Pelodiscus sinensis: one gene and its partners. Each later gene encodes a partner of the first gene's protein in a complex. Links are inferred from orthologs where the notes say so. Each region holds a gene or a part of one and is shown on either strand. Other genes may lie near its edges.

Region 1 (7,882 bases):
ATGGGAGGCACAGAGCCAGAGGGACACAGAGTGCGGGGTGTGGTGGAGGCACGAGGAATGGGACGTAGGGAACGGGGGGGGGGGGCAGAGATCGGAGGGAGCAGAGTGCAAAGGCAGCATAGAACCAGAGAGTCGCAGGGAAGAGGGAGAGCAGGGGGCCTGGAGTACAGGAGAGCAGAGGCAGTGTGGGGAATCGGCGGTGCGGAGAGAAAGCGGCGTGGGGTTAGGGAGGGATTTCAGAGTGCCAGATCCAGGGAGCCACCAGAGGTGAGCACCCCCGGTCGCTCCCTGCAAGCAGCAACCTGTCCCTACTGCTCCTGACAGAAGTACAACTAGGATGCTTTGTATACTACATATGTGTATAGATGCTACCCCCAGAGCTCTACTGACATGGTTCCTGGCCAATGGGAACTGCAGAGCCAGCACCAGGAGCAAGGAAGGGGTCCTGCCATTCCACCTGAGCGTCCCCCCTCCCCCCAGCTGCCTCTGATATAAAGGAAGGAGCACAAGGGCAGGAGGCTCTGTAGGATCCTAGCACAGGGGTGGGAGGGACACAATGGCTCCTGCCTCTTCCTCCCTTGTTGTCTTTGATACAGAGGCAGCAAGGGGCAGGGAGAGCATGCGTAGTCATTAGGATTAACCAATAAGCCCAGGTATCTAAAAGGGTGTCACAAGGAGGAGAGAGAAAAATTGTTCTCCTTGGCCTCTGAGGATAGGACAAGAAGCAATGGGCTTCAACTGCAGCAAGGGAGGTTTAGGTTGGACATTAGGAAAAACTTCCTAACTGTCAGGGTGGTTAAATACTAGAATAAGTTGCCTAGGGAGGTAGTGGAATCTACATCTCCCACAAGAAAGAAGGGCTCTTCCGCAAGAGGAGGCTTTTCCGAAATTTGGCCCATTGTAAACGGAGTGCAATTTGCATACCATTTTCCGATAGATCACTGTAATGTAGATATAGCCCAAGAGAGCAGCTAGCTGGGGCTGGCTCTCTCAATGGCTACTAGGCCAGTTAAGTGGCCCCTCTGCCCCAAACTCTTCCCTCCCCTGAAGCCCTTGGCCATAGCACCAGAGCAGGGGGAGAAAGCCCTGCTGGACAGGAAGGGAGGGGGAAAAATCCTGCCAGCCTGGAACCCCGCCTCTTCCACCCCAGAAGCCATAGCCTGCCCCATCCCCCAGCTGTCCTGTGTGGCTCTCCACTCTGCCCCTGGTCTGGAGAAGCTGGAGGGCAGGATGTCCCCTTCCCTGGGGACAAGTTGGTAGGTGGGCTGAATGGCCCCCACCACGCCTGGGGACAAGCTAAAAAGCATCCCAGCCCCCTACTCTAAGCCCTCCTCCCAACCCCCTGCCCTGATTCCATATACCCAAGGCTCTGCCTGGACTTCTGTACCCCCCCACACAGCCAGCCCCCTGCCCTGAAGAACCTGGGCAAATCTTCTAGTGTACTAGATACACTAAAACATTTGTATACCCCTTCATGATTTGGCCATTATTCCAGAGAACATGCTTCCATGTTAAAAAAGTGTTAATGCAAAAAGGTACCAATGTGAGATTTCTAAAGACAGCTACAGCACCTGACCCAAGGTTTAAGAATCTGAAGTGCATTTTAAAATCTAAGAGAGATGAGATGTGGAGCATGCTTTCATAAGTCTTTAAAAAAGCAACATTCTACAGAAACTACAGAACACAAGTCACCAAAATAGAAAATCAACCTCCTGCATCTAAATGAGATGATGAAAATGAAGATGCATCACTTTGCACTTCTTGGAAAGTTATCAAACAGAATCATCAGCATGCATGCATGTCTTCTGGAATGATAGTCGAAGCATAAAGAGACATGAATCTCTAGCGTATCTGGCACATTAGTATCTAACAATGCCAGCTACAACAATGCCACGTTACAGTTTATTCTTACATTTAGGTGAAATTGTAAATAAGCAGGCAGCAAACTCTCATATAAATGTAAACAAACTTGTTTCTCTTAGCAAGTGGCTGGAAAAGAATTGGGATTGAGCAGACTTTATTGTTTTATTTTTGAATGCAGGGGTTTTTGCATGTAATTCTATACTTGTAAGTTCAACTTTCATGATAAAGAGAATGTACTGCAGTAGTCGTATTAGGTGAATTGAAAATATTTTTAATCAAAAATATAAAATGAGCACTATACACGTTGTATTCTGTGTTATTACAGAAATAAATATATTTAAAAATGTAAAAAAATCCAAACTATTTAAATGATATTCTATTATTAACATCATGATTGATCATGATTAATTTTTTAATCACTTGACAACCTAAATCTTAGAGTCCAACAGATATTCTGTGTAGCATAATGGAATAATGTCAATAACAGACAGTAGTTTACTAAAACACTCTAGCCAAAAACAGTGACAGAGTTAGATAAAAGCAGTACCTATCGACCCTACCTGCTTTAGAGTGGGGCATCAATGTTCTCAAGTCTTGCATTAGATGTCTTGTTCTGAAATTTATTCCTCTAGAAGAGAAAATAAGCACCCGCTCTTTGTTTTTCCATTTACCCTAAAAGAAACACAAAGGTGAAAAAAAATTTTAATCTTCAACTTTTTAAAATCAAAGTTAATATTTAATCAAGATATTTGTGATTTTTTTAAAACTGTATTTGTGCAAAAGTTTTCAATTAAAATAAAGTGCTGTCTTTCCAACAGGCTGCATATATAAATGTTAACGTGATCAATTTTGATCTTCCACACTTAACTACTTAATTCCTACACAAAAAAATCCTAATCAATTCAACGTTTTCAGTGTCAATATTTGAGGATGGTCACATAAAATTTCCCCTCTTAGGGTGTGATTAACTTCATGTAACAGGATGTACCTGCTTGCAGACAGAAAGGGTAAATACCATGAAATCTGTGTTTTCTCATTTAAACAATAACAATGAGGGTTAGGGATGGGACAGGAATCTAGACTGATAGAAAACATATCTAAATATAGCAAAATGACATTAAGTACATGAAAGTTAAACTGCATACAGTGGTAGTACAGAAGTGTTTATGTTATCTAATTTTAAGGTGAAGAATGAGTGAAGAATTAAGGTCAAGTCTATAGTACAGAAAGTTGGTTTAAGGTACGCAATCCCAGCTACATAAACAACATAGCTGGAGTTGACGTACATTAAGCTGAACTTTGGTGCCATTCCCACAGCAGGAAGTCCATGGGTGAAACACACTTATTGACTTTCCATACTCCTTGTGAAAGTGAGGAGTAACAGCACTGATGGGGAGAAGGGTGCCCTCAGAGCTTATTGGAGAGTGGGGTTGGGGCGCTCTTGACAAGAAACTTGGCTGGGGTACAGGTGCTTGTCCCACTCCCTGTAAGGAGCACCTGACAGGGCAGAACAGGATAAGCACTCTTGCCCCAGCCACACTCCTCAGCAGGAGCATTCCAACGCCGCTCCAAATATTTGTTCTAATGACGACGGTTATAAAATTCAGATTGATGTTTACAATAATATGGTTGGTGTGCCCATTTTATTAAGCCATAGGCCACACATACACCCAGATGCGCCTCTTCAGAGCAAGCGCTGAGAGATGGTTTGCTGCTGTTGACCGATGCAGATCAGATACACATTGTTTCTAGTCAATGTTGGTCAGATGTGGATCCACATGTTTATATCCACACAGGGCTGTACTCATATGAAGAGTATGGGTGACTACACAGATCAAGACAACACCTATCTCTGTGGAGATCAGTGCTCTGCTCTAGGGATGTTAAGGACTAGTCAACTAGTTAAATGCTTATCAGATAGTCAACAGGATAGCTGACTAGTCGTTTCCCTCCCTTGCTGCCTCTATCAGAGAGGCAGCAAGGTGTGTGTGTGGGGGGGGGGGGGGGGGAGAAGATGGGGTAATTCAAATCAGCAATGCCGTACGGAGCACTGCCCCTTTGAAATGCCTTGTGCAGCCTTTCAAAGGGGAAGTGCAGCACAAAGACCAGGATCAGCTGGGGATTCCCCAGATAACCCCGGGCTCCATGAAGTGCAGCCCCTTTGAAAGGCTTCATGCAGTACTAATCGAATAGTGCAAAAGCGCATCCAAAGTGCATCAACTATTTGATTAGTCAATTACATGCTACTTAACATCCTTACTCTGCTCCCTTCCACGCTAAGCAGGGGGCGGCCCTCTGAGACTATGGATGACTTACAGGGAAGACAAGTGTTTTTTTAAATAAGGCAATATCGCTAAAAAAAGGACTGAGGCAGATGCTTCCCTTAAGCGGCCTCCTCCGCCCCGCTACATCCCAACAGGCCAGACAAAGCCAGACCAGACCCTTCCCGCAGCGGGACCGGCGAGCTAAGGTGACCTTGTTCCCACCCCCAAGAACGAGAACACAAGCGATGGCTCCCCAGCCTCTCAGCCCAGGCGCCGCATGGAGACAGGCCGGACTGTGCCAATACTCTCGGGGAAAGGGGTGCACAGGCCTCGGGCAGAAGCGGGACCAGCCGCTCTCTCTACCTTGCAGACAGGAGCCGGGATGCTGTGCTCCTCCCTCTCCGCTCCCTGCGGGCCCCGCTTGGCCCACGGCCCGCTGCCATCGGGAGCCCCCCTGGCTCGCTTCTTGGGCCGCGCCGCAGCCCCTCCACGCTTCCTCTTGGCCGCCGCCATCTTCATTACACGTGACGCGTCCGTCACCCGGAAGCTGCTCTGCTCTTCCGCCCCTCGCTCTATGGTCAGCGCCGCCGCGCTGCCCGGCTCTGGGCGGCCTTCGTGTTACGACAGCCGTAAGGCACGGCGGCGAGCGCCGCCTCGTAGGGAATAGGTAGGATCCGGGTGCGGCTTCTCCCCATCCCCGCTCGGCCCGGGGCCGCCGGCTCCCCAGCGCGGGCCCGTTGGCCTGCGAGCGCCTCGTGCAACGGGACCGTCCGTGTCGCCCAAGCTGGGGCGCCGCCGGCTGGGAGCCGCGTGGGGCGCTCTGCCCTGCAGCGCCCGGGACACGGGCCTTGGCTCGGCGGGCTGCAGCGCCAGTGGACGGGGCGCGTGGTAGCCAGCGACCGGCGCGGCCTGGGGCCGCTGTTCCTCCGCCGCTTTCATTGCACTGAACTCCAGCCCCTCTCGCGGGCAGCAGCAATAGCGACACGTTTACACTTGTACCGTCTGGTCACTTTCACCACCGCATTGCTGCCGGGGCGTCATCGCAGCTGCCAGCCGGGCAGCCGTTCCCGCCTGTCCTTGACCACCAGCGGGTTAGAGTAACAGAAGTATGTGACCTCTGTTTTAGGTTCTCTTTGACACTGCCCCTGCAGGCCTCACATATACGGTCACAGGGAAGATTGGAGTGGTGAATGCAAACGAATAATGCCCCTCTCTACTCAGCTGGAAACTGCCGATGATCAGTATGTTTTAGTCGCCAGTCTTGACAATGTCAGAAACCTCTCGAATATCCTAAAAGCGATTCATTTTAAAGACTATGCAACGTGTTTTGCAACTAGAAATGGAATCAAGGTAACAGTGGAAAATGCAAAATGTGTGCAGGCAAATGCCTTTATTCAGGTAAGGAGCCCAGCACATCATCAGACCATTAATATATCTGTCATCAGTCTTTCACGTGTTTAAAATTACAGTTTTTTTCCCTTTTTCTTGCACTTGGTAGTGGCTTTCCCAATGGACATAATCCAGTCAAACAAAAAACAAAAAGATGAGACCAGTGGATGCAAGGCATTAGATATCTCAGTTCTAGACTTGCAATAGTGTAGATGTTGATAGTATTCAGAAATGCTGGAGTTAAATTCTTAATGTATCAGAGATGGAAATGTTTTGCTATTTTATTATTGTTACTAGCAGACTTACTCAGCATTGATTGCCTACATCTGATGTGGGTGGGGGTGTGGTGGGGAATGATGACCCTGTGTGGGCTGGAGTTGGAGGGGAGGGGCAGCTCAGTGCTTGCCAGGGGGCCTGGGCCAGGGACATGGGAAGGCCCAGACCAGGGTTTGGGAAGTGGGGGCAGGGTGATGGGTGCATGAAGGTCTCTCCCAGGCTGCTGGGGGTCCTATGGGGCAGCTGGGGTTGGGTTGGCCAGCCCCGATGGTACGGCAGGTGGAGGGGTTTTAGACAGGGAGGCCACTTACAATTGGCAGCTAAGGTGGTAGAGTCCCATCCTCAGCTGGTCACTCTTGCTAGTGTGGCTGCCCTCATTGATCACTCTGCAGGATAGCTCTCCTGTGGGCTCACTACCCCCCAGTAGTGAGTGTGAGGATCTCTCCTCTCTGCTCCCCTCCCTTTCCATGTAATGGAAAACTATCAAATTCTAGGCACATCTCATTTTCTTGGCACAACCAAACCCTGAATTTGCCCAGGTTTATCCGTTAATTCTAGCCCATGGAGCTGTTTGCCCACCATGAAAGGCAGCAGCAGGAGGAGGGGGTAGGCGGGAGCTGATGCTTGCAGACAGCCGGCTCCCCGTGAGCACCAGCTCCCTCCTGCCTACCCACCCTCCATGTGTTAACATATAACCACTAAAAATTTCAGCAGTCACATGCTTACACAAATACACAGTTTTTAACATCCTTACTACACACCAAATTTGGTGGCCCTAGCTCTTACCATTTAGGAGGAGTTTGTGAACAAATGGACTGACACGCACATGCACTTTAAAAAATATAGATAGATAGCATGTGAGAGGATCACCATTATTTTTGCATTGAGTCTTGTATTAGCACATAGTATGAAGCCACTGTGAGATGAGAGAGCATTAAATAAGCCAGGGAAAGTATGAGAGAGACTAGAATTATCTAGAACAAAAAACAGGACTATGTAGCACTTTAAAGACTAACAAGATGGTTTATTAGGTGGGCCAGACCCACTTCCTTAGATCAAATACTGTAGTGGAAGAATATTGTCACAACCATCTATACCAAAGCATACAATTAAAAAAATGAACACATCTGAAATTTGATTTGTCCTTTTCACATGTGTGCATTTTTTAAAATTGTATCCTTTGGTATATATGGTTGTGACAATTTTCTTCCACTATTTGATCTGAGGAAGTGGCTCTGGCCCACGAAAGCTCATCACCTAATAAACCATCTTGTTAGTCTTTAAAATGCTACATAGTCCTGTTTTTTGTCCCAGCTACACCAGACTAACACGGCTACATTTCTGTCTCTACAATTATCTAGGAATGGAAACAAAGTATTTGACAGAAGGACTGTTGGAGAGAATAAGGAATGGCATGCAGTTTATTTTAGGTGCTGGAGAGGAAGTATCAAAATGGTAGGAATAAGGTGGAGAATCTGACCCAGCGAGTGCCATGCAATACTGCTGGATGTTAGTTAGAGGTGGAAAAAGACCTTGTAGGTCAGGGAAGAGCAAAATAAGGCCTGCAGGCTGGATGCAGCTTAACAAACCACTGGATGCAGCCCATGGACACAGCAAAGAGCCTCACACAGGCTCCCTGCCTGCCCCTCTTCCGTACGTTGCTCAGAAAAGTGACTTGTCGGGCCATTTGTCTGGGGAGGGGAAGAGGTTCCATGTGCTGCCCCTGCCCCTACCACAATTCCAATGGTCGGTTTCTGGCCAATGGGACCTGCCTGTTTGAAGCACAGCAGCATGCAAAGTACCTCTCCTCTCCAGCTCTTAGCTGTACACACATACAAATGACCCTGCACCCATATGCTACTTAACACAAACCCTCTGCCCTCCCTCCTGTACCACTCTAGGTCACAACCCAAACTCCTGTACCCCAGTCCCCTGCCCCATGTCGCAACCCCCTCCTGCCATGGGTCACAATCCAAACCCTTGCACCCCCTCTTGTACCTCAGGTCACAACTGCCACCTTCACATAAACTCCCTCCCAAAGCTCGCAACCCCTCATGCACCCCAATCACTTCAAGCTCTCTTCTGCATCC
Region 2 (7,206 bases), on another chromosome or scaffold:
TGGTTAGAGCTGCACCCTTACCCCGTCCTCCGTGGGCTCTACGTAGAGCTCGTCTCCGATGCGGGACAGAGAATGCACAGCTTTCCCGAGGACTGAGGGGGAAAGAGAGAGACTGTGACCCAGGGCCTGTCTCCACCTAGTATCCCCAGGTCCAGCCCCATCTTGTCCTCACTCCCCTTAACTCCAGCTCTCTGAGGCAGGAAACACAGCCATTTGCAGCCAGTGCCTCCTAGAGGGAAAGGCCCCTGATCCGTTCCCCCCCCTGCTGAGCCAGCCACTCCCCCCCCGCCTTGGGGCCAGATGGGAGCTGGTACCTGCCACATGCCCCATTCCCCACCCCATGCCCAGATGGTAGCCCGGCACTCACCTTTGACATTGCCCCCGGTAACAAGGCACCTCATGGCAACAGAGTGATGCAGATGGGCTCTCCCCACCCTTGCAGGCGGGTTTCAAACCCCCATTCCAATCACAGCGCCCTGAACCCTGAGATAATCCAGCCCGGTGATGGAGAGAGTCTACCTCCGGCGCTGCACAGGGACCTCTTCCAGGGACAAATAAGTAGAAAATGCTGGAGAGAGACCACATCCTAAATCAGTCATGAAGATCCTACCACCCGCAGGCTAGATTTGGTCCCTGGCTTACTTGGATCCAGCCTGCAGGGCTGCAGTGTGAGCCCCAAACCTGCTGGGAGTCAGGTCAGTGAGGTGGGTTTTTGGGGTTTTGTTTTGCTTCTCAGGTATGTGTGGCCCTCACTGATTTTTTTGTGGGCCAGTGGCCCACCCCACCCCTAAATAATCAACTCAGTACATTCCTAGCTCTTTTCCCCTGAAGGCTACCAAAGCATTTCCCCATACCCAGCACCAACCTGCAGCCACCTCTGAGGGGAAGGAGGACAGCTGTTTAACAGCCACACAGGAGTGCCAAGCAGGAACCCCTGTCAGACTGAAGCTCCAGGAGGAATCAAGAGAGGTAGATGCACCTTCTTAGCCCCTTGCTGCAGCTCTTAATCTTACCCCTCTCCCTTCTTGGGGCTCACTCCTTTGCCCTCAGGCCAACTGTCCCTTCCAACTCCCTGTACAGTTTTGTGGCTATTCTCAACCTTGGGGTTTGTCAATCCCTGTCTGGTATCAAGAGCCCCAGCTTCTAACACAACATCCAACTGCCTCAGCTCTGCATAGAATAGGGCTCGTTCCTGCTGTGGGAGATGCACACTGAGTCTCAACCAGCACCGGCCTGTCCTGCATCCTCATCCCATCACAGACCCAGGTGGTCTCCTTTGCCACCTGCCCTGCTCCCAGATCCTTCTGGCCACTCCAGCTGCCCCAGGTTCTGGCTGCCAGATCATCCCTCCCACATGTCCTGGCTACACTTAATCATAGAATCATAGGACTGGAAGGGACCTCAAGAGGTCATCGAGTCCAGCCCCCCGCCCTCAAGGCAGGACCAAGCTCCATCTACACCATCCCTGACAGATGTCTATCTAACCTGTTCTTAAATATCTCCAGAGAGGGAGATTCCACCACCTCTCTTGGCAATTTATTCCAATGTTTGACCACCCTGACAGTTAGAAATTTTTTCCTAATGTCCAATCTAAACCTCCCCTGCTGCACTTTAAGCCCATTACTCCTTGTCCTGTCCTCAGAAACCAAGAGGAACAAATTTTCTCCTTCCTCCTTGTGACACCCTTTTAGATATTTGAAAACCGCTATCATGTCCCCCCTTAATCTTCTTTTTTCCAAACTAAACAAGCCCAGTTCATGAAGCCTGGCTTCATAGGTCATGTTCTCTAAACCTTTAATCATTCTTGTCGCTCTTCTCTGTACCCTTTCCAATTTCTCCACATCTTTCTTGAAATGTGGCGCCCAGAACTGGACACAGTACTCCAGCTGAGGCCTAACTAGTGCAGAGTAGAGCGGCAGAATGACTTCACGAGTTTTGCTTACAACACACCTGTTGATACAACCTAGAATCATATTTGCTTTTTTTGCAACAGCATCATACTGTTGACTCATATTCAACTTGTGGTCCACTATGACCCCTAGATCCCTGTGCTTCTGATTTTGCAACTTGCAGCCCAGAGCCTTTCTTTTAACCAGTCTCTCTTCTCTCCCCAGTTCCATTTCTATGTCCTGTGCTGATTACAATGGCTTATCATTTTCACAGTGTCTCCTTAGTGAGCTGGGCATGCCCTCTTCCAGGGCACCAGCCACCCTGGGGTGGGAAGATGCATTAGTCACTGTGATGTGGCTGTCTAAACAGGATGTTAAGGATGTGCTGAGCCAATCAATCTATTGCTTGGGTTAGTGAGACTGAACATCTCGTGCTGTTTTGCCCACCTCTCCCCTAAGTCCTCAGCTGGACACGGATCACTGACCACACTGGGAACCAAGGCCAGACACAGCTGGGATGCCCAGGCGATAGCTCTTTTTGTTAGTCCGGTGCCTGCAGCCCTAAAAGCCAGTTTCTGCTACTCTCCCTGTGCATTCCCATCCAAAGGGCTCGGAAGGGCTTATTGATGCCGCTCCAGCCTTAGAGCTGCTCTCCGGCATAGGAAACAGAAATCCAAGGGAAGATGCTGCTGCCAATGGAGTTGTGCAGCTACTGGGAGCATCAACACACTCTGCAGCACCGAGTCCTCCCCACCACCCACTGCCTCCCTGGTACCTGTCAGGCCCTATTCCCACAAGCTGCACCCCTGCCACGTGTCCGGCACCCCGTCCTGGCCCACCCCACACATTGCCCCCCGGCACCCCGTCCCACCCCACATGCTGCCCCCTGGCACCCCGTCCCGTCCCACCCCACGCAAGGTCCCTGCCGTGGCCCCGCCCATCCACTACAGCCCCGCCCATTTCCACCGTGGCCCCGCCCCCTCACACCTGGCCCGGGGGTCGCTCCTCGCCCCTGATGCACGCGGGGGATCCTGCAGAGACAGCACTTGTGCCTGATGGTCTCGCCCAGCACCCCCCACAATTGCCGCGCCCGGCCGCCACTCGCCTCCTCTCCTCCAGCCGTCTTCCCATTGGCCGAGCCCTGCCTTGCGTCGCCTTTTAGCGCATCCTATTGGTTCTCGGGTCACGTGGCGGGGGAAAGCCAGCTCTTCTCGTCATGTGACAAAGTCTCCGGGGAGGAGCCGCGCCGGTTTAGCGAGCATTGGAACTCCCGGGGTGGAGCCTCTTTGTGGCTGTCCCCGCGTCACCTAGGCCGCTGCGCCGGGTGGACCCGTCCCCAGCTGCCATTGGAGGAGCCGCACGCCGCTGATTGGCTGGGCCGATAGAGGGACAGAACTACCAGCCAATGGGGCTTCGAATGTGGGAGGTAACGTAGCGGGGTCCATCCAGAGCCTCAGCTCGGCCTAGGCGCCTTCGTCTCCCCTCAGACACCCCCAGCCCAGGCCTGCCTCTGCCACCCCCGCAGGGCAGGTCTTGCCCTGCTCACCTGGGATCCCCTCAGGGACCCCCTGCCCCGCCTAGGCCCTGCCCCTGCCCCATGGGACCCCCCCCCCAGCCCAGGTCCTGCCCCTGCCCCATGGTCCCCCCCCAGCCCAGGTCCTGCCCCTGCCCCATGCCCCCTCCCCCAGCCCAGGTCCTGCCCCTACCCCATGGTCCCCCCTCCCCCAGCCCAGGTCCTGCCCCTACCCCATGGTCCCCCCTCCCCCAGCCCAGGTCCTGCCCCTGCCCCCCCCCCCCAGCCCAGGTCCTGCCCCTGCCAGCCCTCACAGCTCTTTCACTAGAGTCTGTATCCTCCCCCCCCCCCAAGCTCAGCCCCCCCCTTCCCCCAGACACCCCCTTCCAAGGCCACAGACAGCTCACACTAGGCCCAGGCTCCTTTCCTGCCCCATATCAGAGTCACCCCCACACACCCCATGGCCTGGGCTGTCTTCCCAAAACCACACTTGCCCCCCCCACCAGAGTACCCTCCCTGCTTCCTGAGTCTGTTCCCTTGGGCCCCCCCCCCCATCCTGCGCTTGGAGACTCAGGACTCAGATTCCCTCCCCAGGCCCCCAGACTTGCTACCCTAGTTTGCTGGAGGCTGTGATCGCCAAGAGCAACCGCAGTCTGCCTCTTTGTGGCGGCGCTCAGCCATTCCCTGACACTGGCACCCCGTCCGGATATAAGGATGAGGCCAGGGAGCATCAGGCCAAGAGGAACCTTTGCAAGGGCTTTCCTAGCACCTTCCCAGCTCGGGATGCTCTGCCAGGCTGCAGCGCCCTCCCTGTGCCCCAGCTGAGCAGAATCGTGGAGCCTCCCCCAACCCAGCACAGGTGAATTATGTTTAGTTGAGCAGCTCTGTTCTGGTGCGTGGCTGTCAAACCCGCCTTGTGGGGCCCTGTACTCATCTCAGTGACACAAAAGCCTCGTATGTCCCAGGAACATGCTTGAAGACTTCCCAGCCTTGTAGCACCACCAGCAAGAATGATTTGGCTGGCCACAGCCTGACCTATGTGCAGTCCACACCCCATCTGTCCTGTGACCTTCCCCTTCCTCACCTTTGAGTCCTGCCCCTGGGTGAGTCCCACACAACCCTAACCCCTTTGCCTTCATTAGTTTGCCCAAGTGTAACCAAGAGCCCTTGGGCAGAGCTAACCATCCTGCTGATGTTGTGTGAGCCAGATTAGCAGCTGGTTCTCTAACCCGTCACTGGGCTGAATCTATGGGGCAAACCAGAAGTTTTGTTTCCCTGAGAAATGGGAGTTCTGACTGTTTCTCCAAGGGGCATTCTGTGCAGCACAAAAGGGCTTTTATGCTACAGGTACTTCTTGCTGCTAACTGCAACTCTGTCCCCTCCCTTCTGTGACTCCAGGCATTGGGAGCATATGGCCCTGGTAGCCTCATATCCCCTTGCAGCAGCTGTACATGAAAGTTCCTTTTAGTGTGAGCAGACCTCTGAGAGTGCTTTTATAGGGGAGGGAAACTGAGTCCAGGCTGGGAGAGATGTATAGCTTGTTATCTTAGGGGTTTGCCTAAGCTTATCAGTTAATCGTATAGTCCACTACAAGTTGACATCCCTACTTATTCCAAGAAGAAAATGGTAGCATTAGGTCCCACAATCCATTGAGTCATAAATATGTGTCTGTGAAGCATTTACCCTCCTTTCTCTCCCACCTTGTTTCATTTCCTTTCTTTTTTAAAATGTCTCTCTCTGGTTAATATGTTTAGGGTGTGTTGCTTAAGTGTGTGGGACATGAGGGATGGTGGAGGAGATGAACCGTAGAAGTGAGAGCCCTGGGCTGTGTCTACATTGGCCCCTATTCCGTAATAGGGATGCAAATGTAGCACTTTGGAATAGGCAAATCCGTGGGGGATTTAAATATCCCCCGTGGCATTTGCATTAACATGGCTGCCGCTTTTTTCTGGCTTGGAGATAAGCCGGAGAAAAGCGCCAGTCTGGACGCGATCCTCCGGAAAATAAGCTCTTTTTCAGAGGATCTCTTATTCCTACTTCCAAGCCGGAAAAAAGCGGCAGCCATGTTAATGCAAATGCCGTGGGGGATATTTAAATCCCCCACGGATTTGCCTATTCCAAAGTGCTACATTTGCATCCCTATTACGGAATAGGGGCCAATGTAGACACAGCCCTGGAGTCTAGAGCCCTCTCTGAATCTCCTAGAACAGGTACAGCCAGAGAAGCTGGAGGATTAAGTCCCCACCATCCCTGAATTAGCCTAATGACTGTCTGGAACAGTAACTTTTTGGCTTTTCTGTTGAGGCTGCTGCAAGCTCTTTAGGTGGTACCCATTAGGATTGTGGATGTTGGGGACTGGTTATGTATGGGATTTCTGTGCCTACTGTAGAATGGGCTCTGGGTGCAGTCCTGCAGAGAGGAAAAGAATGAGAATTGCATCGCTATGCTTATGAAGTGGGCTCTTGGTTTAGCCTTCAGAAGGAAGAGAAGAATTGGACATTAGTGGCCCCTGGAAGGGACTCTTGGCACAGCCCCTCTTCCTCCCAGAAGAACTAGATTTGGTGTTTAGAGTGTCCGTTCCAGCTCTTGAAAAGCAGCCGGGCTCCTATGGAGCAAGCATCCCCTGAGGATCTCTGGCCTCGGGGCTCAGAGTTTTATGGGGCTGTGGATAGGACACAGCTGGCTGGGATCGTGACACACACACCTCTGCAGTGTCCAAAGCCATGTGCACCCCTCCCCTCCTCTCTCCTGACCTCCCAGATCCTGTGTTGGAGAAGACACATGGGAAGCTTGCACTAGGCGAGGGGGCGGGTGGGGGGGGGGGGGACATAAGTCTGTGGAGCCCTTAAATTAGGTCAAGGAGAATCTATAACCCCTCTGAGGAAGACTGACCCTGTGTGAATATGGGAATGTCAACATACTGCAGCGCTCCCAACCAACCAAGCCACTCGCACGGAGTCAGATCTCTCAAGTGCCACCATCATTGCTCCCCCAGTCCTCATTCATACAAGGTCAGCCCTGCTTATTCCCCAGCCCTTCCCTGTCCCGGCAGTCACACAGGATCAGCACCCCCTGCTCCCTAGCACTGCTCCCCCCTCTCATTCATGCAGGGTGTGACGTAGTGGGGGTACCTGGCTGGTTTCTATGCTGCTGGCTCTGGGGGAACCCCCACTGGCTGCCGTGGGTACCACGACCCAGCAAAACAGGATGAGTCACTATGCAAACCAGTGGCCAGACACCCCCCATGGAGAGGAACAAAGGAAGGTGGAATGCTGCCTTGGCTGGGGGGCAGGGCTGGAAGTTAGTGAGTTGGTTGCTGGCTGTCGGAGGGCATGGAGGAGAGCCTAGGGGAAGGGGCTGGAGTTTAGGGGCCCAGTCTCCCCCATCTCAAGGGGGCCTGAGGCATCCTAGCCCAGTTCCTGTAACCAGATTACATCTGTGCTGCGCTGTGCTGGAGGAGCAATAAACCACCCTCAATTCCACTGGCTGGTGCAGTCTGTTTGTGCCATTTCGGGGTGCAGGAGACGGGGAACCCCCAACGCGCCGTCACACTGGTGTCAGAAGTGGGATGCACTGCACCCCGTGGATGGAGCTTCCAGCGGCAAGCGACAAGGCGCAGTAGAAGCAAGAGCCCTGGAGCCAGGCGTGCTGGAGACAGAGCGAAGCGGTTCCTGGGAATCGTGGGGCGCTGCAGCACTAGACTGGTGAGTCTGCACCGAGGGGCCCAGCGGGCAGATGGCCTACGCCCGACTCTTGAAGGCAGAGCTGGTGGGGCTGTGCAGAGAGAGGGGCTTGCCTGTGCAG
Region 3 (8,305 bases), on another chromosome or scaffold:
AGTAACTGGCAGATTTAATCTCCATGAATTCATCAAATTCATTTTTGAACCCAGTTAGGGCCTTTACAGCATCCCATGGCAACGTTTCACAGGTTTCCTGTGAGTTGTGTGAAAAGTACTTCCTTATGTTTGTTTTAAAACTGCTGCCTATTCATGCCCTTGGGTGACCCTTGGTTTTTGTGTTATGTGAAAGGGTCAATAACACTTCCCTAATCACTTTACCCACAACGTTCTCCCTCCTCCTCCACCCTTAGTTGCCTCTTTTCTAAAATGTAACAGTCCCAATCTATTTAAGCTCCCCTCATCCAGAAGCTGTTCCATATTCCTCATCATCTCTGTTGCCTTTCTCTGCACTTTTTCCAATTCTGGGGCAATCAGAACTACATGCAGTAATCAAGATACAGACCCTACCATAACAAAAGACAGGACTATGCAGCACTTTAAAGACTAACAGGATGGTTTATTAGGTGATGAGCTTTCATGGGCCAGACCCACTGGCCCATGATATTTTGGTCTTGTTATCCTTCCCTTTGCTAATGGTTCTGCACGTTCTGCTTTTTTGATTGCTTATGAAATACATTATTACAAAAGTCTATACACCATTGTAGTCCCGCATAGAGTTTTAGAACAGCCACCTTAATATTAAAGACATTGAGAGATGTTTCATATACTATTAATTATGCAATAACAGCCTATTTCTTTGGCACATACCTGATTTAACTCACACCACATGCTGACCCCTCCATTTGCCACTTTATCAGAAAGGATGAAGTAAAGTTTGTCCACTGCAAGGCGTAGAGTGCATGTCTTGGCTAATTTGGCAATTGTGTTAATCACACCTATGGGATAACGTTTCATTAAATTAATTCCTAACACTTCTAGCATAGGCCAAAAAAGGGTTGCTTGCAATTTATGGTTTGCAGTTCAGTAGGAAAGAACATTATTAAAATAAATCTATGGAAAGTGGCAGCCCAAAACTTCTATATTTTGCTAAATTATCTTTTGGTTCTTTTCCCCCCCACACCCGTTCCCTCCACACTTTATTTTGTTTTGAGAGTAAAGGGAGATGAGGTAATATTTCTTATCAACTTCTTTTGATGAAAGAGACAAGCTTTTGAGACACATAAGAGCTCTGTGCAGGGCCAGATTAAGACCTTTAGAGGCCCCAAGCACTGAAAAGATTATGGTACCACCCCCCATATGTAATTCAAAATAAAAACAATACTATACTGTAAAATCTCAGGGTTTTTTTGGTTCCCCTACTTTGCTGGTGCCCTAAGCATGTGCTTAGTCTGCCTATTGGGTAATCCAGCCCTGGCTCTGTGGTTCAACAGTGTGTCTCTCTCATGAACAGAAGATGGTCCCATAAAAATATTACCTTACCTGACTTGTCTTGCTAATATACTGGGACTAAAAAGCTACAACTACACTGCACATAATTTTATTTTGTCACCTATCTCCTATCCCAACATCTAAACTATGAGGGTATGTCTACACTGCAACACTATTCCGAAATAACGTAGTCTGTATCTACACAGCAGTTATTTCAAAATAGTGTCAAAATACTGTCAATCTGGAGGACTTCTTACTCTGATTCCTGTAACCCTCCTATAAGAGGAGTAAGGGAAGTCAGAGGAAGAGTGGTCTATTTTGAAATAAGTGCTGTGTAGACACTCCCTAAGAAATCTGTGGTAGGAGCTATCTTCTTTATTTTTGTCTCTATACTGCTTTGCAAGATGCCCATTTGTTTTGGGTTCATAGGTGCTACCATTACAAACAGTAAACAAACACACAAACAAAAATGGAAGATTACAAAGAAAATCATTGGAACATAGGAACATGCTGTAGACTCATGGTCTGTCTACTGTATGATAGCCTACCTCCAGAAGTGAGCAAACACCTTGGAATATAGCAATCCCTTCTTCCCTCCCCATACTCAGAAATCCCCAGAATTCCTCACTGACATAATTCAGTTTTGGAGCATCACACTGGGCGCACAGGTTTGTTTTGCAACTTAGAAACTGCTAATGTGAAATTAAAAGGCGTATTAAAACTTGACTGATTTTTTTTCACATTGCAAGCTATAAATCTTTGTGAACACCATCATAAAGAAAAAAGTAAATACATGGATTTACTGGAAAACACTTTTGCTTAACAGAAAAACTATGGCGTTTGATCTGGATGTTATTCAGTCTGTGGCATCTCGTTATCTGGTCTGATCTACACAAGGAAAGGGACTGTCTTCTCAAACAGGTTTAAAAACTGACCTTATCATACTTTCTAGAGATACTCTCTATAATAAAATATATCAAGCCTGGGGAAGAACTAAGATGATTTCGGATCTGCAAAGAGCAGAGGCCATTTTCACAATTTTAAAATTTGCATTTTATTTATGTATAATTGAGCCTATTGGTTACAGTGCAACATGCCCTGAAAATATCCCAGATGGACAGATAGTCCCAGATCTGCCACTGAGGTGTTCTGAGAACTTCGGCAAGCAGTTGCACACATTTCTGTGCCTCGGTCTTCCCATTTGTTAAACTAAACAATGGCTTTTGGGAAACGATGTGCTGTGCAAGGGCCAAATGTGACACTGGTCTGTCAGCAGGCTTGGAAACTTCTCTCCCAAGCCAGCTAGCGACTGCGGATGTAGCTGCTTTACGTACAAAGCATTCTATGGCCAAGGACAGCAGCAGCCAGCAAGTCGAGGCTCATCAAGGGTCTGGTGCTTGCAAAGCAGCCCCGATTTACCCTGCCCGCGAGGATGCATCGCTCCCTGCGGTACAGGAAGAAGCCAGGGGACCCAACTGCACATTTCACCGAGACTTAAACACGCAGTGGGGGATGCGGGTTTTGAATCCCCCATTCTCCCAGCCCCGCCACAAACAGGCTCCCTGCCCGGAGCTCCCGCTGGCCCAGACACCCAGCCCGGCCCGCTCACGGGTGAAGTGGTTCAGGCAGGCGACGTCCACGATCTTGGCCCGAAACCGCATGGCTGCAGCCGCCCGGGCTGGAAGCAAAACAAACCCGCCCCGGCTGCGAGCCGCTCCGGGAAGCCCGGCCCCGAGCAAGCCAGTTCCGGTTCCCCTTCTCCCCTCCCCGCTGCCTCCTCTAACATGCGCCTGTGGCAGCCACGCGGTACGCGCCCGAGTCTCCCCGGCACTGGAGTCACTCCGGCGTCCCCCCGTGGTGGGGTCAGTAGAGCGCAGCTGGTGTAAAAGCGGCGCCGGTAGCAGCACAAAGGGGGTGTTTCAGAGAGCAATCACGCACACTCCGATGCACTCCTCTGCTGTATAGAGCTGGCAGTGATCCCTCTTCCCTTTCAAAAACAATGAAGAGCTAAAGGAAGTAGGGAAAAACTGGTACTACATATTAAGAGAGAGGGGAAAAACAACCTCTACCCATATAAAAAGGCAGGAGTTGGGAAAGCCCCACATAAGATTAGAACTGGCCCAAATATGAAAGGAAATAAGCATAAATTAAACAAAAGGGAAAATAGGTAACAGTTAAAAAAATGGAGGCTATACTTATGCTTGACTCTGCATTCTGTACACCAGTTTTACGCCGTTGTGAGTGTAATCACGAATTTACATTGGTATAAACTAGTGTGGCCATGTGGGGAACCAGGCCTAGAGAAAAAGGGAACAATAAACTGGGTATTTTTAAGAAAAGTTGCCTTGAAGGATAGGGAAAGCTAAATTATGTAATGTGAACACTAGATGGGGCTGGAGAGCTAGCTCACTCTTGGTTACAGTCTGATGGCAACCAGGAATGGTGAGTGGGCAGCATAAATGGCTTTCCTTCACCGCAGTGGGCCCCAGCAGCCTGTGGTCCACCTAGGTTCCACTTGTGGTCCCATGACCCACCTGTTTAGCTCTCCTCCCGCACACACCGTGGCACTGGAGATGCACACTTACCTGTTCCTTCCACTCTCCCAGCATTTTTGGAGTGATTTGCAGTGTTCCACCTCTGGGAAGGTGGGAGGAAGGGGAAGGAAGTGCAGGGCTCCAGTGCTCTGGTGTGTGAGAGGTGCATGGGGGTATATGAAACAATATGGTTTTTCAGTAGCCATTCTTGAAGGCCTGTAGAATATTGGAAGGTCTAACGTCTTCCTCTGCAGCCCGATTGAAAAGCAGCAGCCATTATCTGTAAAGTTTGGAGTCACATACTCACCTAAATTGCATTAGTGTCATACCAGGCTCTTAAGGAGATTCCATCTTAAGGGCACCCACTATCACCAGATAAAGAATCAGATCTCAAGATGGGTAAAGAAACAGCATTTCATCTGGCATTTCATCTGGCACACAGTAGTCGAGGTTGTGGAATCCTCATTCTATTATTATGGTCCTCACTCTCATACTGTTTCTCTGTATGATCTCTGTCTGGTTTTTAATTATTTCTGTCTGCTGTATAATTAATTGTGCTAGGTTTAAATCAATTGAAGTGGCAGAGTATGATTGGCTAGCTAATTCTGTTACAGTATGTTACAATTAATAAAATTTCAGTAAAATAATTGTTTACAAATAGTTAAGCAGGATTCAAGTTTCACTGTATAAACTGGAGTTCAAGAAGACCAGCAGGAAAGGGAAAAGGAAGAAAAGAAAAAGGAAAGACCTGGAAGAAGAACAAGTCACCTCCAAGACACAGCCCAAGACCAGAGCTGCTAGGATTCCTCTGCACCACCATGACAGGCCGTGCAACAACCAGGATCTACAGAAGACTGACCTTGCCTGGCCAACAGGGAAAGTTTGTCTGACTTTATCAGGATTGGTGAGCCTGGCACTGTATGCTTAGCATGTGTATTCTGCTTGCTTGGCAATTTTCAAAAAATAACAAGTGAGGATATTACTGTGTAAGGCTCTTTCAGTCGTAAAAGATCCTGCAAACTCGTGGGAAGTTACGCCCTAAGAATTGGATAAGTGTGAGCATTTAAATTAACAGGGTTACACCTTGAGCCCTAGGAATTGGGTAAAGTTGTGTGTCCCTAACATGTGGGAGTGACAGAGAAGTCTGTGCAGGTAACAGGGGAGAGAGGCAGCAGAGGGTCTGTGGGCTGCAGGTTGCCCGCAATCCTGATAAAAACAGGAAAACTTCTCCTGTTGGCCATGCAAGGTCAAGCTCATCTGGATCCTGGTTGTTGCACTGCACATCATAGTTGTGCAGAGTCCTGGCAGTCCTCATCTTAGGCTGTGTCTTGGAGGTGAGTTGTTCTTCTTCCAGGTCTTCCTTCTTCTTTCTGTTTCTTTCTTCCTTTTCCCTTTCCCGTGGGTCACAGGTTGCCCACCAGTCTCTGCATAATAATAATAAAAAACCAGCATTAGAGTACAAAAGGGATTATGCTGAGCTGACTCTTGGAATCATGCTTAAAGGCACAGGATCCAAGCTTGCTGCTGTTGAAAATGCTGTTATTATGTATTTGTATTCATTGTATGTAGGAATCCTAGTCATGGACTATGATTCCATTGTGGTAAGTGTTACACACAGAACAGTAAGACAGTCCTTACCTCAAGGAGCTTATCAGGGGTCTTGTATTCTCTTCCTCCCTATAGCTATCTGGGAAGGTGGTTCAGAGTGTAAAGAGGATGCCATGTAACAGGTGAAATAATTATAACACCAAGATAGAAGGAGAGAGAAAAAATCCTTCACCCTATAAGTTGGGTGGAGGAAGAGCTGTGGAATTTTACATGATAAACAATGACAATAGTGTGAATTTTCCAGCAGTAGGATCTTCAAGTAGCATAATTAAGCAACTCACCTCATGTGGAAACTCTCTATATCAGTTTTACATCATACATCAGAGGAGGCAGAGCCATGAGGCTTTAATAGCCATTCTTCTAGACACAATATATAACACTTGTCAGAAATGACAATGAGTTGCATGCTTGTGCTTAAATCACGTGGGCAAATGCTTTGTAGAACATACTGAGACAAACTCTGTTATAAATCAACGCATCTCAGGCCAAATCCAGGCTCCAACCCTGAGTCCTCTCTGGAGTTCCCATCCATGTAACACTAATCAGATCCCAAGTATCTTCCTTAGCAGCAGCCAGAGATCAATTTGCCACCAATGCCCACTCTCTGGGGTAGACTCCATGGTTCTCCCCCACTGCATTATCATTAGGGATGTTAAAATGCATTTATATTTGTAAATGTGTAACTGCTGAAATTTTCAGCAGTTACATGCAGAGGATGGTGGGATAGGCGGCAATCAATGCTCATAAGAGGCAGCAGCATCGGGGGTGGGCAAGCGGCTCCACAGGAGTCGGCATGCGCTGCTGCCTCTGATACAGAGACAGTAGCGCGGGGGCGGGCAGTCAAGCTGGCTTCCACCTGCTCTCCCCCAGCTGCTGCCTCTGTGGGTTACAGGTGGCTCCACAAAAGCTGGTACCCTTCCCCATGCGCACTGACCCCCATCTCTCTCCCCCATCCCATGCTGTTGCCTCTATATAGAGGCAGTCGGTGGGTCAGGGAGGCTGCATGTTACTGTGAAGGTTAACCGATGAGCCCAGGCTCATCAGTTAACCATGTACACGGGTACACACTGACATCCCTAATTACTATAAAAGATAGTGAGTGATACCACTGCAATGGGTGTAATATAAGAACGGCAATAATTGCCCCTGATGAAGTTGTGTTCTCCCCATATGAATGAGTTAGAGGAACCATGAAGGGTCTGGATACTCTAAAGAAACAAGCTAGCTCAGATCTCTTAAAATGGAACTGTCAGAGAGACAGGAACATCAAAGCTCAAAACTCCCTCTTCCCCCAAAGTCATTGGACTGTTCTAAATTTGCATAGGGATGCAGAGCCTCACAGCAGCTTTCACAGGATTAATGAAGAGCAAAAGTGTGCTTCAAGTCTATCTACACATGCCCTGTAACTAGTGCTGTATGCAAGTCCTTTGACTAAAACTGATTTTCTCCTTATTTTTTATTCTTTTTTTAAAAAGAATTTTGCATTTATATGTAGTATTATCTTCCAGTGCTATCGTTCTTTATTATTTTATCTTTTGTGATTCTATTAAAATATTTTAATGATTGTAACGTATATTAAAATAAATTCTTTCTTACGTTTTGTTTGGTTAATGCTGCTTACATTGGTTTAATATTGTATTTCTGTATTTAATTATGAAAAATGAAAACAATTAAACAAGAGACATGATAAATAGGAGGCAAAATGCCTGCAAAACCAACATCTATTTATTTTGTTTCTGTCAGCTGTTCTATGCACAACCCCATAGCTATTTTAGTAAAACAAGCTAGATGTAAATACGCCTTTAGTCTAAGAGCTGCAACACTCCAGGGATTAATAACTGAATCACGAGGGGGCCAATTCCATGATGTATTCAGTTTGCTCAACTCTTATTGAAGTAAATAAGAGCTGTGCTCTGCATTTTACAGGTTGGGGTTACAGTGATCTGAAAAACATTGCAGATGCTATTTGTATGCCATGGAAGCAATCTTTCTAACCACGGAGTCTGGTTGTTCAAATAGAGAAAAACGCAGTGTCATACATTCTTTCAAATTTGCAATACCTAACTTAGCCAAACTATCACAATGTTGTTTCATGGTCATTGGCTGCATTTTTGAGAACTGTCAGGGACTTTGGAAAACATTATACAGGAGTAACGCATATGGCAGATATATTAAAAAAAAAAAAAAAAGATTGGTACAGGTGCCTCCTTGAGCTTGTCATGAAACTAAGGGTACATCTATACTGCAGGGCTATTTTGAGATACCGGAGGTCTCCCAAAATAACTACTTTGTGTCTACGCAAGCCCCCTGGTATTTCAAAATATTTTTCAAAATACCAGGTATGCTATTTCGCCATTCTGGTAAACTTCATTGCACGAGGGATAAGAGATGGCTCAAAATAGCGTGTTATTTTGAAATCTGGCGCTATGTAGATATGCCAAATTTCAAAATAAGCTATTTTGAAATAGTTTTGAAATAAGATACGCAATTTGCATAGCGCAAATTGTGTATCTTATTTCGAGTTTAGTGTGCTGCGTAGATGTACCCTTACTCTCTAGTGTCACAGATAGGTAGTAACTAAGCTGAAATGCTATTGCTATTGATTAATATTATTGGATGAATCCTCTGGGAATAGAAAATGGCATGTCTCAGAGTGCATTAAATCTTAGAGGAGTGAATGCCCGATATTTGTATAAAATCAACTAATAAATCAAAAACTAAGGGCAGAGAGAAGCTGAAGAGAAAAGGGTAGGGATATATCATAATGTATATGTCATCTGAAGAAGTGAGTTGTACCTACAAAAGCTCATACCATCTAGATTCTACATGCA
Region 4 (7,928 bases), on another chromosome or scaffold:
TTAAAATGCTCTATTAAAAATACAAAAATAAATTTAAAATCAAACAGAGAAATCTAGATCTCTGGGGCTGGTGGAGTGTTTCATATGAGTTTTAAAGGGGTAGCCATGTTAGGCTGTATCTGCAAAAACAAGGTGGTGTCCTGTGGCACCTTACCAACAGATTTATTTGGGCATAAGCTTTCATGGGTAAAAACCACTTTGTCAGCTGCAAATGAACAAGATGCCCAAATAAATCTGTTAGCATTTAAGGTACCACAGGACTCCTCATTAAAGTTTGAAATCTTTTAGGGCTGCTTTGTTATAAAGCTTTGAGACCTAAGTGTTGTTATTTAACAGAGCTGCCTGGTAATGGCTTCTGCAAAGACAGGTAGCTCCTACAGAACAATTACAAGATTTTTTAAGCAAATGTGCATATCATAATAAAGTATCCTAGGACTGAGTGAAAAGAAACTTAGCAGTCCTCTCAACAAGATTTGAGTCTATTGGAAGAGTTGTGTTAGGAAAAGCAGAAGATTTAACACACACAAAAATGAAAAGGAGGGCAGGGTTAAAGTACATAGAAAACTGCTTCAAAAATCTGCTGCCTGGATATCTTCGCCATAGTGTCTGCTTGTAGCCTGCATTATCACCCTGCTTTCCAGAAGAGATGATCTATTTGCTGGTTTACTTCAGGCCCAACATTTTCTTTTGATTGAAACCAAGTAATATTACATTAACAATATGTAACAGAAAAACAAATAGTTGAGATTTGTTATCAATGAAAACATGTTTCTTTAAAGAGCTCATTGGGGTGTTGACAACTCCCCCCCCCACCACACACACAAAAAGAGCACTGACCTAAATGAAGTGTAACAGTAAAACTGACCAGCATTGTCCAATCAGGAATGAAATGCAAGACATCAATAAAGTACATGAGCAGTGAAAAGTGAACACAATTTTAAATTTTTTTAGAAAATACAACTCTCTCAGTAGTACCATTTTTCTTGCTGTTGATTCTTGGTTTGTAGTCTATGTAGTTCTGCTAAAGCCTCTGAAAACAAACACATCCACTCCTTAGGCTTGATCTTCCAACAGACTCCCACTGACCTCAGGCATATACTTGTTTGTTTCCAAGCAATACACTGGCTTTTTGAAACTGCATTTCTCACCAACAAGCTTAACTAAGGGAAGACACCTGCTCCTTATCACACTGCATCTGTGGAAGTAGGCCTCATCATTTTACATCAAGTATTCCACCTTTTAACTATATACATTACAAGATATAACATCCATTTTAACCCACATTTAACTCCATTGGGGGGTGACCATAGATAGGCAAACTTACAAAATTGAGATTATTAATACATGAATATTAAATAAGAGAACCACAATTAAGATGCAGACTCTATTTCTGTATCATAGTTGAGCAGGAAGTTGTCACATTTAAGTGCTGGAGAGTTGAGAGTTATACCAAACAGTTTGAAATAATTGCTGTAGTTTAAATATCAAATCCAATAAAGAGTAACTAAACAGTAACTATTCTACTATCCATTTCCAAGGTTTTCAGTTATCATAAAAGCCAAAAAGAATCCCCATCTCATATGGATCCCAACCTTTTCATGCCACCATGCTAGTTCCCAAGACAGGGAACTCTGCCAGTGGCCACCATTTCCCATTTAGATGTGAGTGCGCTAATTTAAAATACATCTCAGGCTGCTTGTGACTGCTAGATTGGGATCTGAAGCAACTGTAACACTGTAACCAGGCGGGGGGGGGGGGGGGAGTGTGTGTGTAATCCATGTCCAAGATCCACTCCAAACAATTCTTTATTAAGATATGCATAAGAAGGCTGAGAACACTTACTATAAGAAACTAAGGAAAACAAACCTGCACCTACCCATGAGACGGAAGCATTTTGGTCAAGAGGTTTGGTAGAAACACGTCTTGGGTTCTCAGCCAAAGGCAATGGAGATCCATAGTGATGTGTAGGCCCCTCTATTGGAGTTTCAAGGAATCGCAGTTGTGTCTTGTGAGCCTGGTGGATGCATTTCTTCTTTGGAGGCATCAAAAAGGGTAAGAAAGTCGCTATGAAACCTCATGATGCCTGGTGGAGCCAGTTAGGGAGAAGAGGAAAGAGATGACAAACTGTACCCAAATCTGCAGAAAGCAACAGAGGGATGTCAAGTCGTCAAACCTAGCAACTGTTTTTTCCTACATAGAACACACTTCTGATCTGCCTCCAAAAAAGTCTAATAAAAAATGGAAATATACATTTTTATATACATCCACTCAGCCATACTCCCATTAGGGACACAATCAGAGCTTTCTTGGTGTTACACAAGATATAGTCTGTAGTGGGTGCCTCTCCCCATGGTCTTGGGTTTTTGGGGTGTCCTCCCTATTGAGTATATCCAGTCATGTCTTGCTCCTGGGAAGATCCTCACTAAACGACATCAGCAAGGTGGAACTGACATAATGCTGCTCCACCATCCCTAGCCGTGGCCCTTTCCGGTTACCTAGTCCACACAGCCGCACCAGCTGGAGGGTGCAGACAGGGGAGGAGGAGGTAACGACCCTGCTAAGTTTGGGGTCCGCTGCTCTACTTATCTACAGGCGTGTACACACACATACGCGGTGCTCTCGCTATGCCCTACCCCAGGCATCCAGTAACTCCTGGGCACTTTTCTCTCGCGCACAGCCCGGCAGCTGAACGCACACGCCGCCCGCCCGGCTGCTCCGGGGCTGGCTGTCTCTCGCACACGGCGGCTACTCCGCCATCACTGGCTGGCCGGTTGCTCCAAGCTGCAGCGGCGGGGCGGGCGGCAGGCCCAGGAGCACAGAGCAGGTGCGGCGGGGAGGGCAGCGGCAAAGGCGCTCAGGGGCCACCGTTTGAGAGCGGGGGCAGAGCCCCGAGACAAACGCCGCCGCCGCCGCCTCCTACGGCCGCGCCCCCGCCCCCGCGGACGCTGCTCCGCGCAGGGAGCCGGGTGGGGGGGTTGAACCGGCCTCGGGTCTGATCCCAGCTCCTGCCAGGGGTCAGGCGTGTGCGAGCACCGCCGGGCGCGGGCGCTCATTGGCCACTTCCGTTGCCGGATGGAACGCTCTGGCCCCAGGCCTCATCTCCATTGGTCCCGCCCTCGCACGTGATGCCAACGGGCCGCCAGGCGCCAAATTCAAACCGGGAAACGAAACGAACTGCCTCTGTGCCCTGAGAGCTGCGGAGCCCGGCGGTGCCGGGTCCCCGCGGGGAGGCAGCGGGGCGCGCGACCCCCTGCCCCCACCGACACCGGGGTGAGAGCGGGCTGGGAGGGGCCTTGCTGCGGGAGCGGGGCCGGGGCGGGGAGACTGATAGGGGCCACTAGGAAGGGAAAGGGGGTCGGTGGGCACCGGCGGGCCATGGGGGGCAGGGCGAAGGGGTGAAAACACGGGCTGGGGGCTCTAGGAGCCGGAGAGCCTGTGGGGAGATGGATGGGGGAAGGGGCTGGGGCCAGGGGAAAGAGCAGGTGAGAATTCCCAGCGTGTGTGTGACAGCGCAGAGCTACCACCCGCAGCCAGGATGCAGCGAGGCCTTTGTCAGTGGCTGCAGGGCGTCCCGTGAAGCCGCCTCCTTCCAGAGGCCAGGGTTGGATGTGTCACTTGCCTCTATCACTTAGGAAGGGGGCTAGTTTATTTTTCTGTCAGTTTTGTTTGTACCCTTTTATGACCGTACAAATGACTAGGGTACTGCACGGATACAAAATACGGATCCATAGCTGTAAAAATGAGCAGCAGATATCCACAACCATATCTGTGGAAGCGGATATCCGAGGATAGAAAGCAGATATCTGTGGATTTGCAGGGCCCTACAAATTATCGGTTCTGAGGATGTTTTGTTACTAACAGGCTGGATTGGCTCTAAAGATGTAATAGTGTAGTCTATTAACCGATAAGCAAAAGCTTGTCTGTTAATGCTACAGACTACACGCATCCTCCCCCCCCCCTCCCCCACTCCCCAACACTTGCCAATAAATTTTTTAGCAGGCTGGCCAGTAGCCTACGTCCTGCCTTGTGCCAGATCAAGGATCTACCCCTGCTGTGGCTCTACATTTAAAGTGTATTAAGAGCCAAGTGGGCAGCTAACCTGGCTCAGTTCTGGTTCACGCCAGGTCCAGGAACTCGGACCCCTCTCCTTCCGGACAGGAGCTGCTGCCACCCAACGCTGTGGGGTGACAGGCAGCCAGTTTGTGAGGGGAGCTGTTTTTTAAACTGGCTCCCCTCACGGGCCAGCTCCTGCCTGGTACCCTACGCTGCTGTCTCTTATACACAGGCAGCAGCACAGAGTGTCAGGAGGTTCTTCTGGAGTAGGGCTGGAGCGCACTGGTTGCCAGCCCCACCCCTAGGGACTATAGAATAGTCAAGTAACCAATAAGAATTCATGAGGTTAATCGACTATTCAATTAACTGATATTTAATACCCCTAATCCGCTCCAATGATGTGAAATCCTCTCCATTTTGGTTAATTCTTAGTCTCCCATACGTTATCTGTATAATGCAAGCACTGTAGATCCACTGAAGATTTCTTGTGCAAGAGCAAAGTACCACTTGCCACAACTCCCATAAATGCAACAATTATCCTATCTCCACATCCCTATTTCTGGTTTTGTCATTGATTCCCCTAGTTCTAAACTTTAAAATTGTTTACCATCCATAAAGTCCAGATTAAGAAATTTATTCTGACATTAGATGATGGTGAATTGAGTTACACAGTGCTAAGAAAGGAAGTGCTTGGCTTCTAACAAATCTATTTCAAGCTCTGAGTTTATGGTGTTTCTATAAAACAAATATGATAACACTAACCTCACGGGTGTGATCTGAGATATTCAGTTATCATGCAATTAGTGCTCCTCATCTGTATGGAGTTTTCACAAGATGTGTATCAATAAATAAGGAGGAACCTTTCCCTTCAATGGATGTGGCATGCAATTCTTCCCTATGGGCATAGGGATTGTCCTCTAGTCACAAGACAGATGGTGAGGAATCTTCCTCTTTTAGGATTACCACTGTACCCCTCATACATCAGCTGATTTGGTACCTTGCATAGAGATAATTCATTCCATTCCTGTACGTTCCATGCTTACAGCTCCTCTTTCATGTTCTTATATTTTGCAGGGTCTGTTCTTGCAGTCTTCAATGGCGAGTGACTGTACAGATCAATCATGAGGACCAGCCCTCGCAGGCCTCTGATTCTCAAGAGACGAAAACTGTCCCTCCCAAATCGCAATTCATCCAACACCCCAGCGAGAGATGAACCAGATGGGCAAAGTAAAGGAGCCCCCAAGCATGAGCAGGTCAGAGAGGACAAATCCAGGGACAGAGTGGAGGGTAGCACCCAGAAATTCCCAGCAGGAATAAAGATCATTAATCACCCTACCATGACAAACACCCAGGTGGTAGTCATCCCTCCCGATGCTGACATTCAGAGTATCATCGAGGCTCTGACAGCCAAAGGGAAAGAATGTGGCAGCAATGGGCCCAACAAGTTCATTCTCATCAGCAGTGGGGGCAACTCACTCCCCACAGGCTCACCAGCAACTCAGCAGAAGCTCCAATCAAATGATGAGACAAGCACAGCAACAAAGGGAGCCACAGCAGCAGATTGTCAGGATGGAGAGAAGAACATTGGACAAAACCCTGGGATTATGGAAAGGCCGGTACTGTGGCATCCACAAGTCAATTCCATGGAAGGACAAGAACAGGAAGGAAACAGTACGTAGGCTGTACCCTTCTGTTGAACTCTTCAGCACAATGTGGAGTGGGTAGAGATGGGGGATTGATGCTCTGCTTGATATAGGAGAGCGCAGTGGTGAAAATGTGAAATTTCAAGCAACCCAGGTGATTAATATATTAGGTTTATATGTACGCTGATAGGTGTTCAAATCCTGAGTCCAAGTAAAAGTCAGTGATTTTAGGGCCTGGGGTTTTTCTGAGAGTTGGTAAGGTATGTTACAGGTCAGGATTTTGGTATACAGAAAGTCCCCAGCTTATGAAAGGGTTGTGTTTGAAAAGTTTGTAAGTTGGTTATTTGAAACTCAGAGTGCATTTTCCCACAGAAACAATATTCTGAATGGTGGTTAGGTGCCCAGGCTAGCCCACAAAAGCCTATGTGACCCATAATGTAGCTGAAATACTATAAATTTGCAATGAAAAATTATAGAAATAGTTTTTCATTTAACCTTGAATGCTGCTGCTTGAGGAAAGGAGGATGAGGAGTTAAGTGGAGATTTGAAAGGGAACTTCTGGGCATCCCTCAACTGTACTCCCTCCCCGGTCTCTGTGCTGGCTCCTGCAGCCATCCCCATCTGCCAGCTTTCTCTCCCCTCTCATGCTCAGTGCCTGCTCTGGCAGCCCCCATCCTCCCAGCCATTCCTCCCTTTCCTCCCCACCCCACTCCCCTACCCTCTGGGAGCTGCACCTAGCTCCCACTCACATGGAGGAGGAATGCGGAAGGAGAACTCCAGAGGAGTAAGTGCTGCTTCTCTTCAGTTGCCAGCTGCACAGTCACCCCCTATTCCTACAGAGTCCTCCGTCTAGCACTTGCGCTATTTGCTGCAACCTGTGCCTCCTGCCTGTTCCCTGAGGCTGCAGGTGCGTTTGTGTTTGCAAGTGCAGATTTTCTTAAGTCAGATATTTGTAACTTGGGAAGTGCCTATAGTGACAGAGTGGGAAGTGAGGGGGGGTCAGAACTACAAGAGAGAGGATTTTTCAGCCTGGGCCTAGAGATGTTAAAGGTTAACCAGTAAACATATACCTTACCAGCATGCTTATCTGTTGACCCCATAATGGGGGCCTGGCTGGAGGCGTGCAGGAGCAGCTGCCACAGCGAGCTGCCGGGTCCAGAGCAACCCGCACTGCCTGCAGTTAAATCATTTAACTGCTTAACTATTCTGGGCTGTTTTTACATCCCTAGCTGGGACAAAGATGTTTGGGTCATTGGCTAATAAATATCTTGTGATGTTTTTAAGCACTATTCTCAGCAGTCACTCTGGGCCAGGGCAGTTGAAGGTTCAGATCCAATTTGGGATTTTTAGGTTTGGAGCCTTTACAGCAATTGGGCTGATCTGCAGCTAAATCAGGAGCTCTGTCTAGATCTGCAAGATGCTTTTAGCATCAGATCTCCACCTTGTGTCTCTAGCTAGAGATGGGGAGCTTGAGCCCTTTTGAGGAGACCTTTCTAGGATCTCTCTCTAAGCATCTGGAATGGCAGCAGGTGAATGAGCAGGGCTCTCCATTTGTTTCCCTGCAGGCAGTGGAGAGGCAACAAGCAGCGGCTTGGATAACAGTTTGACTAACATCCAATGGCTAGGGAAGATGAGCTCCGATGGGCTGGGCCCCTGTACTGTGAAGCAAGAGATGGAGAAAGAGAACAAGACACCTGTGCAGGAGAGGATGAAGGTAAGTGGGGAGATGTGGGGCACATAAAAGAGGAAACTTCTGGAAACTGAAAACAGGACATATGGGTGAGAACACTCAAAGAGAGCCCAACTGACAAAATCTGTGTAACCTGAGCCTCTAGTTGATCTTTGCAACAGGGTCCTGAAGTTAAGAGGATCTTCCTGGGAATTTTCCTGGGCCCCTGCAAGTTTCATACTGTTATCTCCTTTTTTCTTCCAGACTGAAGAAGACTCCATTGCTCCCACTGCTACCGCCTCCTTGTGGCAGGACTCAGTATCAGAACGACCCCCTTACTCCTACATGGCCATGATTCAGTTTGCCATCAACAGCACTGAGAAGAAGCGCATGACCTTGAAGGATATTTATACCTGGATTGAGGACCATTTTCCTTATTTCAAATATGTGGCCAAGCCAGGCTGGAAGGTAACATGTTCTGCTGGGGGTGCACCTGATCCCACCCCTACGTGTGGGCAACAGTGTCTTGCAGGGGTGCTAGAACAATTTGTGTAGTGGGGGTG

The links.
Region 2: the proteins of RAD1 (region 1) and RAD9A are in contact, whole or in part, in a crystal structure (PDB 3GGR), measured with the Homo sapiens proteins. The link is inferred for Pelodiscus sinensis from reciprocal best matches to the Homo sapiens genes RAD1 and RAD9A. Residues at the interface, in NP_002844.1 of Homo sapiens: Glu165, Ala166, Ser168, Glu169, Asn195, Ala196, Gly197, Ser198, Ser199, His200, Leu201, Asp202, Tyr203, Pro204, Asp206, Ser207, Glu211; in NP_004575.1 of Homo sapiens: Leu76, Ser82, Val83, Ser86, Leu90, Lys92, Leu112, Phe116, Gly117, Val118, Arg119, Lys120, Thr121, His122, Asn123, Leu124.
Region 3: the proteins of RAD1 (region 1) and HUS1 are in contact, whole or in part, in a crystal structure (PDB 8GNN), measured with the Homo sapiens proteins. The link is inferred for Pelodiscus sinensis from reciprocal best matches to the Homo sapiens genes RAD1 and HUS1. Residues at the interface, in NP_002844.1 of Homo sapiens: Asn85, Val88, Asp91, Cys92, Ser94, Ile95, Phe96, Gly97, Ser98, Gly127, Val128, Val129, Thr130, Val131, Cys132, Lys133, Ile134, Asn135, Gln137; in NP_004498.1 of Homo sapiens: Thr165, Ser168, Val169, Lys172, Met173, Asn175, Ile176, Glu197, Leu198, Val199, Cys200, Val201, Thr202, Thr203, His204, Phe205, Lys206.
Region 4: the proteins of RAD1 (region 1) and RHNO1 are in contact, whole or in part, in a crystal structure (PDB 6J8Y), measured with the Homo sapiens proteins. The link is inferred for Pelodiscus sinensis from reciprocal best matches to the Homo sapiens genes RAD1 and RHNO1. Residues at the interface, in NP_002844.1 of Homo sapiens: Asn47, Gly48, Ile49, Lys50, Phe64, Ile65, Gln66, Ser149, Lys155, Ile157, Glu211, Ala212, Lys240, Val241, Ser242, Arg244, Gln254, Tyr255, Met256, Phe266, Glu268; in NP_001239428.1 of Homo sapiens: Ser55, Trp56, Val57, Ser58, Pro59, Asp60, Phe61, Asp62, Thr63.

The regions. Positions count from the first base shown.
Region 1 is NC_134716.1:107,058,775-107,066,656, forward strand, and holds the start of RAD1 (cell cycle checkpoint protein RAD1), read left to right. Parts: upstream 1-4,669; 5' UTR 4,670-4,794; intron 4,795-5,253; 5' UTR 5,254-5,330; coding exon 5,331-5,525; intron 5,526-7,882. Other genes in the region: BRIX1 (ribosome biogenesis protein BRX1 homolog), read right to left, coding at 2,424-2,535, 4,491-4,646. UniProt on the Homo sapiens protein: Component of the 9-1-1 cell-cycle checkpoint response complex that plays a major role in DNA repair. The 9-1-1 complex is recruited to DNA lesion upon damage by the RAD17-replication factor C (RFC) clamp loader complex.
Region 2 is NC_134714.1:127,079,065-127,086,270, forward strand, and holds the start of RAD9A (cell cycle checkpoint control protein RAD9A), read right to left. Parts: upstream 3,033-7,206; 5' UTR 2,877-3,032; intron 569-2,876; 5' UTR 402-568; coding exon 368-401; intron 93-367; coding exon 22-92; intron 1-21. UniProt on the Homo sapiens protein: Component of the 9-1-1 cell-cycle checkpoint response complex that plays a major role in DNA repair. The 9-1-1 complex is recruited to DNA lesion upon damage by the RAD17-replication factor C (RFC) clamp loader complex.
Region 3 is NC_134712.1:158,116,351-158,124,655, reverse strand, and holds the start of HUS1 (checkpoint protein HUS1), read right to left. Parts: upstream 3,097-8,305; 5' UTR 2,994-3,096; coding exon 2,942-2,993; intron 840-2,941; coding exon 712-839; intron 1-711. UniProt on the Homo sapiens protein: Component of the 9-1-1 cell-cycle checkpoint response complex that plays a major role in DNA repair. The 9-1-1 complex is recruited to DNA lesion upon damage by the RAD17-replication factor C (RFC) clamp loader complex.
Region 4 is NC_134711.1:125,750,652-125,758,579, reverse strand, and holds the start of RHNO1 (RAD9, HUS1, RAD1-interacting nuclear orphan protein 1), read right to left. Parts: upstream 3,009-7,928; 5' UTR 2,634-3,008; intron 2,137-2,633; exon of another isoform or gene 2,084-2,136; 5' UTR 2,045-2,083; coding exon 1,877-2,044; intron 1-1,876. Other genes in the region: FOXM1 (forkhead box protein M1), read left to right, coding at 5,175-5,724, 7,262-7,410, 7,630-7,833. UniProt on the Homo sapiens protein: Involved in microhomology-mediated end-joining (MMEJ) DNA repair by promoting recruitment of polymerase theta (POLQ) to DNA damage sites during mitosis.